Linked DNA regions of Macaca fascicularis. Each later gene encodes a partner of the first gene's protein in a complex. Links are inferred from orthologs where the notes say so. Each region holds a gene or a part of one and is shown in the gene's direction. Other genes may lie near its edges. The genes, in order: LRP5 and FZD8.

Region 1 (3,799 bases):
GAGGACGACGTGGGAGGTGGTGGGTGTGGCAGGAAGGGTCACCCGTACCTGGGGGAACAGACGTAGCAGGTGGTAAACAAACAGTTGCTAGGCTGGGCGCGGTGGCTCATGCCTGTAATCCCAGCACTTTGGGAGGCCGAGGCGGGCAGATCACGAGGTCAGGAGATTGAGACCATCCTGGCTAACACAGTGAAACCCCGTCTCTACTAAAAATACAAAAAATTAGCCGGGCGCAGTGGCGGGTGCCTGTAGTCCCTGCTATGCAGGAGGCTGAGGCAGGAGAATGGCGTGAACCCGGGAGGCGGAGCTTGCCGTGAGCAGAGATCACGCCACTGCACTCCAGCCTGGGTGACAGAGCGAGACTCCGTCTCAAAAAAAAAAAAAAAAACCAGTTGCTGTCACTGAGTGCGGTAAGAAGGCTGTTTGCTGTGCTGCAGGAGCCTCTGAATGGTGTGGGCCGGGGCCGCCCAGGCAACTTCCTGAGAGCGCCTTGGGGGTGGGAGGAAGGAACTGGAGGTCTTGGGCATGAGTGGGGCAGTGCCAGGAGTGCTCTGGGCATAGTGCTGCATCCCAGGGCTGTGTGTCCTGCTGGCTTAGCCAGTGGCCCTCACGGTTTGCTTCTGCCCCACAGCCTCGCCACTCCTGCTATTTGCCAACCGCCGGGACGTACGGCTGGTGGACGCTGGCGGAGTCAAGCTGGAGTCCACCATTGTGGTCAGTGGCCTGGAGGATGCGGCCGCAGTGGACTTCCAGTTCTCCAAGGGAGCCGTGTACTGGACAGATGTGAGCGAGGAGGCCATCAAGCAGACCTACCTGAACCAGACGGGGGCCGCCGTGCAGAATGTGGTCATCTCCGGCCTGGTCTCGCCCGATGGCCTTGCCTGCGACTGGGTGGGCAAGAAGCTGTACTGGACGGACTCAGAGACCAACCGCATCGAGGTCGCCAACCTCAATGGCACATCCCGGAAGGTCCTCTTCTGGCAGGACCTTGACCAGCCGAGGGCCATCGCCTTGGATCCCGCTCACGGGTAAACCCTGCCGCGACTCTGCCTGGGTCCAGGGGGCGGGGAGCATCACCGTTTCTCTCTCGAATTTATGTGAGCCCAAGTTATTTTTCAGAAAAAAGATGTGAATCTTAAAACGAGTTCGGGGGGGTGCTTTGGCTCATGCTTGTAATCCCAGCACTCTGGCAGGCCAAGGCGGGTAGATCACTTGAGTCCAGGAGTTCAAGACCAGACTGGGCAACATGGTGAGACCCCATTTCTAAAAAAAAAAAAAAAATCGGGTGTGATGGTGTGCACCTGTAATCCCAACTCCTTGGGAGGCTGAGGTAGGAGGAGCATTTGAGCCTGGGAGATCGAGGCTACAGTGAACTGTGATCCCACTGCTGCACTCCAGCCTGGGCGACAAAGGAGACCCTGTCTCAAAAAAAAAAAAAGAACTCAGCTTTCAGGATTTGTTATGGTTGAGAGAATTACTTCCCCTTGAGATTCCATAGTTATGTTTCTTTTTTTTTTTTTGTGAGACAGAATCTCGCTCTGTCACCCTTGTTGGAGTGCAGTGGTGTGATCTCGGCTCACTGCAAGCTCCGTCTCCCAGGTTCATGCCATTCTCCTGCCTCAGCCTCCCTAGAAGCTGGGGCTACAGGTGCCCACCACCATGCCCGACTAATTTTTTGTATTTTTAGTAGAGACGGGGTTTCACCGTGTTAGCCAGGATGGTCTCGACCTCCTGACCTCATGATCTGCCCTCCTCAGCCTCCCAAAGTGCTGGGATTGCAGGCGTGAGCCACCGCGCCCGGCCTTTTTTTTTTTTTTTTTTTTTAATTGAGATGGAGTCTTGCTCTTGTTGCCCAGGCTGGTGTGCAGTGACATAATCTCGGCTCACTGCAACCTCCGCCTCCCGGGTTCAAGTGATTCTCCTGCCTCAGCCTCCCAAGTAGCTGGGATTACAGGCGCCCACCACCATGCCCAGGTAATTTTTGTATTTTTGGTAGAGATGGGGTTTCACCAGGATGGCCAGGCTGGTCTCGAACTCCTCACCCCAGGTGATCCACCCACCTTGGCCTCCCAAAGTGCTGGGATTACAGGCGTGAGCCACCATGCCTGGTTCATAGTTACGTTCCTTTTTAAAACTTGCATGTCTGATGGGGTTGGCTGTGGGTCTGAATGGTTAAACGCATCTTTGCTGTGTGTATGGTGGGTGGCCTGGGAAGTGCAGACTCTCAGGCAGGTGGAATCTGCGCCTTCTCCTGGCTTTCTAACTGCATTGGCTGAAAAAGTGCAGCTCCTCATCTGGAAGCAGAACCTGGGTCTGTTTTGGAAGCTGCCCTGTGTCCTCCTCAGCTGCTTGTCTGGCTGAGTTCACCTGGGCCCTTGAAGGCTCAGGGCCTGGCCATGATCCCAGGTGGGGAGACGGTGGGTGGCAGGAAAGCGAAGAACCTCCTTGGAGTCGAAGTCCGGGGTGGAGAGTTTGAGGGGAGGTGGCCCAGCTCCAGTGGCCAGCTAGGCCAGGTCACCCCGGACTCCCGAGCAGAGGGAACAGTTTGCTTGGACGCCCGTTGTCCCTCCTTCGTCCCTCCTCTTGCAGCCTGGGAGTGACTCTGGGGGCTGTACACACACCCTTACCTGGGCTGTGCTGAGCCCTGGCCCTTGCTGACCTGTCAGGTTCTGTGCTGAGTTCGTGTGAGAACTGGTTGGCAGAGGTCTCTGACTAGAACACAGGAGCCTTTTCCCCCCATTCCCAGGCTCAGTTGGAAGCCCTTTGCCTGTTAGTTCATGCAGTGTCACCAGTCTCTCAGCACTCCCAGCCTGGACCTCACCGGATGAGGGACCGGCCTAGATCTTCTTTGCGCAATGGCGCGATCTCGACTCACTGCAACCTCCACCTCCCAGGTTCAAGCGATTCTCCTGCCTCAGCCTCCTGAGTAGCTGTTATTACAGGCATGCACTACCACACCTGGCTAGTTTTTGTATTTTTAGTAGAGACAGGGTTTCGCCAGGCTGGTTTCAAACTCCTAATCTCAAGTGATCCACCAGCCTCGGCCTCCCAAAGTGCTGGGATTGCAGGTGTGAGCCACTGCACCCGGCCTGACCTAGATCTTCTAGATTAGAAAGTCTCAGGACTGGGCAGCCACGCATCCAGGCCTGCCATAGGAGCCCACCCGCCCTCCTCCCTGAAGTCAGGGCTCTGGGAGCCCTTCCCTTTTCCGTGCCCTGTGGGACAGTGTCCAAACTCTGGAGTAGGACCGAAGACCCCTGGGCTCTAGTCCTGAGGCCACCAACTTGCTGTTGCCCTTCGCAGTGACCTCCCCCTGACTCCCATGGCGCTGGCTGCAGGAGCCGGGCAGGAGGGGCTGGTTGCCATACCCTGCAGATGCCCTTCCTCTGGGCCTGCCCGGGGTAGTGGGAATGAGAGTATCCTCACCAAGGCTGGGGTTTGGGAGCTGGGGAAGCAGAGTGCCATGGTGGCCAAGTTCACCTCTTTGCTCTGTGCGGTGACTTAAGAAGCCATTGACTGGCTTCTGACAAGCACGGGAAGGGCTGGAGCCTTTCAGAGCCCAATAGGTTTGTGTGAGCCAGGTGTGTGTGTCTGAGCAACTGAGTGTGGGAGTGGGAGGATGTGAGCCTGTGTGTGTGTGTGTGTGTGTGTATGTGTGCGCGCACGCACACATGTGCGTGCATACGTGTGAGCCTGTGTGCGTGCGTGTGCACACGTGTGTGAGCGGGTATTTGTATGCTTGTCTGTGTGAGTGCGCGCGCGTGATTATGCATGCGCGTGTATGTGCCTGTGTGAGTGA
Region 2 (4,355 bases), on another chromosome or scaffold:
GGGGAGAGAGAGAGGGAAGAAGACAGAAGAGAGGGAGGGAGGAAGAGGGAGACGGAGATGGGGAGAAGGGAGGAGGGAGGGAGGGAGGTGGTGGGGGGGGGAGAGAGAGAGAGAGAGAGAGAGAGAGAGAGAGAGAGAGAGAAACATATTCTACCACCCTCCTGGCTAACTGAAATGCTTGTTCCCGAGATTACAGTAATTACTGCCCCAGCATGAGTTCCATACAAGCGCTAAATGAAACAGCACATCAATTAAAAAATAAACACTCCATTCCAGGAGAAAGACAGCCCCCTGGGACGCCCTAACAAGCGTAAATGAACCTGCCAGGCCGCCGGCCCGGGCCGCCCGCAGCCCCCCTCCCGGTCGGTCTTAAGGTGGCTGCGGAGCCGGCGGGGACCGTGTTCGCTGGCGGTGGCCCAAGCGGCTGCTAAAAGCAGCCCGGGTCCGGCTCCGGCCTTGTGCAGAGCGCAGATACGTGTCCCGGAGTCCGCGCCAGAGCGCAGCGCCGCCTCCCACCAGAGAAAAGGAGGCTCTGGCAAAAGCCTGTGAACTTGGGATGGATGAATAGACGTCCTGAAAGAACCAAGCGAAGGCAGGGAATCCAGCCCCAGAGTTTCCAGTCTGTCCTATTTATAAGTTTCGGGGTTTGTTTTGATTTTTAAAAAGAAATAGAATGTTTTTTCCTAAGAAAGCACGGCGTCCCGGGGCTTTCTATATTTTATCTCACCTAATTATCAAAGCCCCCTTAGAGATCTGTGCTATGATCACCCAACTCTCGAGGTGGGGAAACTGAGGCTCCCCCGGGTCACGCAGCGGAGGCGGGAGAAAAGTCTCAGGCGGGCATTTGTCCCCCGCGCCCCTCGCGCGCCCAAGGCTGGGCTCCGGGGCATCTCACCTGGGCCGTCCTGGGTCCAGCTCCAGTTTAGAATGACTCCACTCCTCCCCCCCCAACCCCCACATCTCCAAGCCTCAGAAACCATCGTTCTGAGAACCCCAAGGAGGACACCCGTTCCCGGGTCTTCTGCAGCGCCAAGCCCCGGCAGACCGCCCCGGCAGACCGCCCCGGCAGGCCTCCCCTGCACTCGCCTGCTGCGGGACCTCCGCGCCGCCCGGAGGACTGCGAGACCCCCGCCGCCCGCAGATCACCCGCATTCGCGGAGGGTGGCAGCAGGGGCCTGGCTGGTTTGAAACGCGGCGAAGAGGCGTGCGCTACACCAAACCCCGTCCCTGTCCCCAAGGGCAGACTCGGGGAAAGGGCACCAAGACCTCAGACGCACTCAGCGCCATGGGGACAGCCGTGGCCAACACTCTGTCTCTGCGGCCAATCCCAAGGTTACCAAAACTCTCCATCCGCAGAGAACGCGCACAGCGGTGCGGACACTCGGGGACTGCCTTAAGGAAGGCTGAGCCCTGGGAGCACGTGGACTCCGCCCCGCCGCCCGGCGATTGGCTCGCGGGGCTGGGGGCGGAGACCGAGTCCGCGCTGTATAAATATTCATGAGCCGGCCGCGCGGCTCGAGCGGGGCTGGAGCCGGGAAGTTGGGCGAAGGGCGCTGCTCCCGCCGAGGAGGAGGAGGCGGCGGCGGCGGCTGGGCGCGGGCCGCGCCACTCAGGTGTCCGCTCCGTCTTCCGGTCTGGATTTGCTCCTGGGTGTCCAGCAGGAAGGAGACTGCGTGCGCCTCGCCCGACTGCGGACGGAGCGCGGCGCTGACTTTTCCTGGTGGCGGGGGTCCGTCTGTCCAGGGGGCTGACGGACGAAGGACGGACGCCGGAGAAAGAGGGCGGCGGCCTGGGCCGAGGCGGGTCCCCAACTCCGGCGGCGGCGGTGGCGCGGCCTTGGGGGCGGGCATGAGCCCCCGGGGGCTAAGCGGTGGCCTCCAGGGCTGACCCGGCGCGGCGAACGGCCGGGCCCAGCCATCTTGACTGCGCACCGCGGCCCGAGAGGAAACTTGCAGCGCCGCCGCCCTCTGTGCCCGGCGGAGTCACCGCCGCCCAGCGCGGCGGGGAGAAGTGGTCGGGCGCGCGGAGAGGAGGCGAGCGAGCGCGGGACGATGAGCCGAAGCCCGGACGCTCTGCGCCGCGAGGGCTGAGCGAGACCTGGGGCGAGCAGAGAGGACCTTCGGACTGTGGCGCGCGCCTGCGACCGCCTTCAAATCCCAGGAGCGGCGGAAAGGAGTGCGGAAGGGCCCTGCCGAGGCTGCGACGCGCCCCTACGAGGGGCTAGATTATCAGCAGACTCCTCTCCCGGGCGAGGCATAAGGGAGATCCCAGATCACCGGCTTTCCCCGTCTCCGGCTCTCTCGTGCCCCCTCCCCCCCGGCACCCTTCTGAGCGCCGCCTGGAGGGCGAGGGCACCGGGCCGAGGCGCACAGCATGGAGTGGGGTTACCTGTTGGAAGTGACCTCGCTGCTGGCCGCCTTAGCGCTGCTGCAGCGCTCTAGCGGCGCGGCGGCCGCCTCGGCCAAGGAGCTGGCGTGCCAAGAGATCACCGTGCCGCTGTGTAAGGGCATCGGCTACAACTACACCTACATGCCCAACCAGTTCAACCACGACACGCAGGACGAGGCGGGCCTGGAGGTGCACCAGTTCTGGCCGCTGGTGGAGATCCAGTGCTCGCCCGACCTCAAGTTCTTCCTGTGCAGCATGTACACGCCCATCTGCCTGGAGGACTACAAGAAGCCGCTGCCGCCCTGCCGCTCGGTGTGCGAGCGCGCCAAGGCCGGCTGCGCGCCGCTCATGCGTCAGTACGGCTTCGCCTGGCCCGACCGCATGCGCTGCGACCGGCTGCCCGAACAGGGCAACCCTGACACGCTGTGCATGGACTACAACCGCACCGACCTCACCACCGCCGCGCCCAGCCCCCCGCGCCGCCTGCCGCCGCCGCCGCCCGGCGAGCAGCCGCCCTCGGGCAGCGGCCACGGCCGCCCGCCGGGGGCCAGGCCCCCGCACCGCGGCGGCGGCAGGGGCGGTGGCGGCGGGGACGCGGCGGCGCCCCCAGCTCGCGGTGGCGGCGGTGGCGGGAAGGCGCGGCCCCCTGGCGGCGGCGCGGCTCCCTGCGAGCCCGGGTGCCAATGCCGCGCGCCCATGGTGAGCGTGTCCAGCGAGCGCCACCCGCTCTACAACCGCGTCAAGACAGGCCAGATCGCCAACTGCGCGCTGCCCTGCCACAACCCCTTCTTCAGCCAGGACGAGCGCGCCTTCACGGTCTTCTGGATCGGCCTGTGGTCGGTGCTCTGCTTCGTGTCCACCTTCGCCACCGTCTCCACCTTCCTCATTGACATGGAGCGCTTCAAGTACCCAGAGCGGCCCATCATCTTTCTCTCGGCCTGCTACCTCTTCGTGTCAGTGGGCTACCTAGTGCGCCTGGTGGCGGGCCACGAGAAGGTGGCGTGCAGCGGCGGCGCGCCGGGCGCGGGGGGCGCGGGGGGCGCGGGCGGCGCGGCGGCGGGCGCGGGCGCGGCGGGCGCGGGCGCGGGCGGCCCGGGCGGGCGCGGCGAGTACGAGGAGCTGGGCGCGGTGGAGCAGCACGTGCGCTATGAGACCACCGGCCCCGCGCTGTGCACCGTGGTCTTCTTGCTAGTCTACTTCTTCGGCATGGCCAGTTCCATCTGGTGGGTGATCTTGTCGCTCACGTGGTTTCTGGCGGCCGGCATGAAGTGGGGCAACGAAGCCATCGCCGGCTACTCGCAGTACTTTCACCTGGCCGCATGGCTCGTGCCCAGCGTTAAGTCCATAGCGGTGCTGGCGCTCAGCTCGGTGGACGGCGACCCAGTGGCGGGCATCTGCTACGTGGGCAACCAGAGCCTGGACAATCTGCGCGGCTTCGTGCTGGCGCCGCTGGTCATCTACCTCTTCATTGGCACCATGTTCCTGCTGGCCGGCTTCGTGTCGCTCTTCCGCATCCGCTCAGTCATCAAGCAGCAGGACGGCCCCACCAAGACGCACAAGCTGGAGAAGCTGATGATCCGCCTGGGCCTGTTCACCGTGCTCTACACCGTGCCCGCGGCAGTGGTGGTCGCCTGCCTTTTCTACGAGCAGCACAACCGCCCGCGCTGGGAGGCCACGCACAACTGCCCGTGCCTGCGGGACCTACAGCCTGACCAGGCGCGCAGGCCCGACTACGCCGTCTTCATGCTCAAGTACTTCATGTGCCTAGTGGTGGGCATCACCTCGGGCGTGTGGGTCTGGTCCGGCAAGACGCTGGAGTCCTGGCGCTCCCTGTGCACCCGCTGCTGCTGGGCCAGTAAGGGCGCCGCAGTGGGCGGGGGCGCGGGCGCCACGGCCGCTGGGGGCGGCGGCGGGCCGGGGGGCGGTGGCGGCGGGGGGCCCGGCGGCGGGGGACCAGGCGGTGGCGC

Evidence for each region.
Region 2: LRP5 (region 1) and FZD8 share a complex: the UniProt entries of both Homo sapiens proteins name them as parts of the wnt-signaling complex. The link is inferred for Macaca fascicularis from reciprocal best matches to the Homo sapiens genes LRP5 and FZD8.

Annotation. Positions count from the first base shown.
Region 1 is NC_088388.1:6,280,994-6,284,792, reverse strand, and holds part of LRP5 (low-density lipoprotein receptor-related protein 5), read left to right. Parts: intron 1-631; coding exon 632-1,028; intron 1,029-3,799. UniProt on the Homo sapiens protein: Acts as a coreceptor with members of the frizzled family of seven-transmembrane spanning receptors to transduce signal by Wnt proteins.
Region 2 is NC_088383.1:36,412,480-36,416,834, reverse strand, and holds the start of FZD8 (frizzled-8), read left to right. Parts: upstream 1-1,517; 5' UTR 1,518-2,373; coding exon 2,374-4,355. UniProt on the Homo sapiens protein: Receptor for Wnt proteins. Component of the Wnt-Fzd-LRP5-LRP6 complex that triggers beta-catenin signaling through inducing aggregation of receptor-ligand complexes into ribosome-sized signalosomes.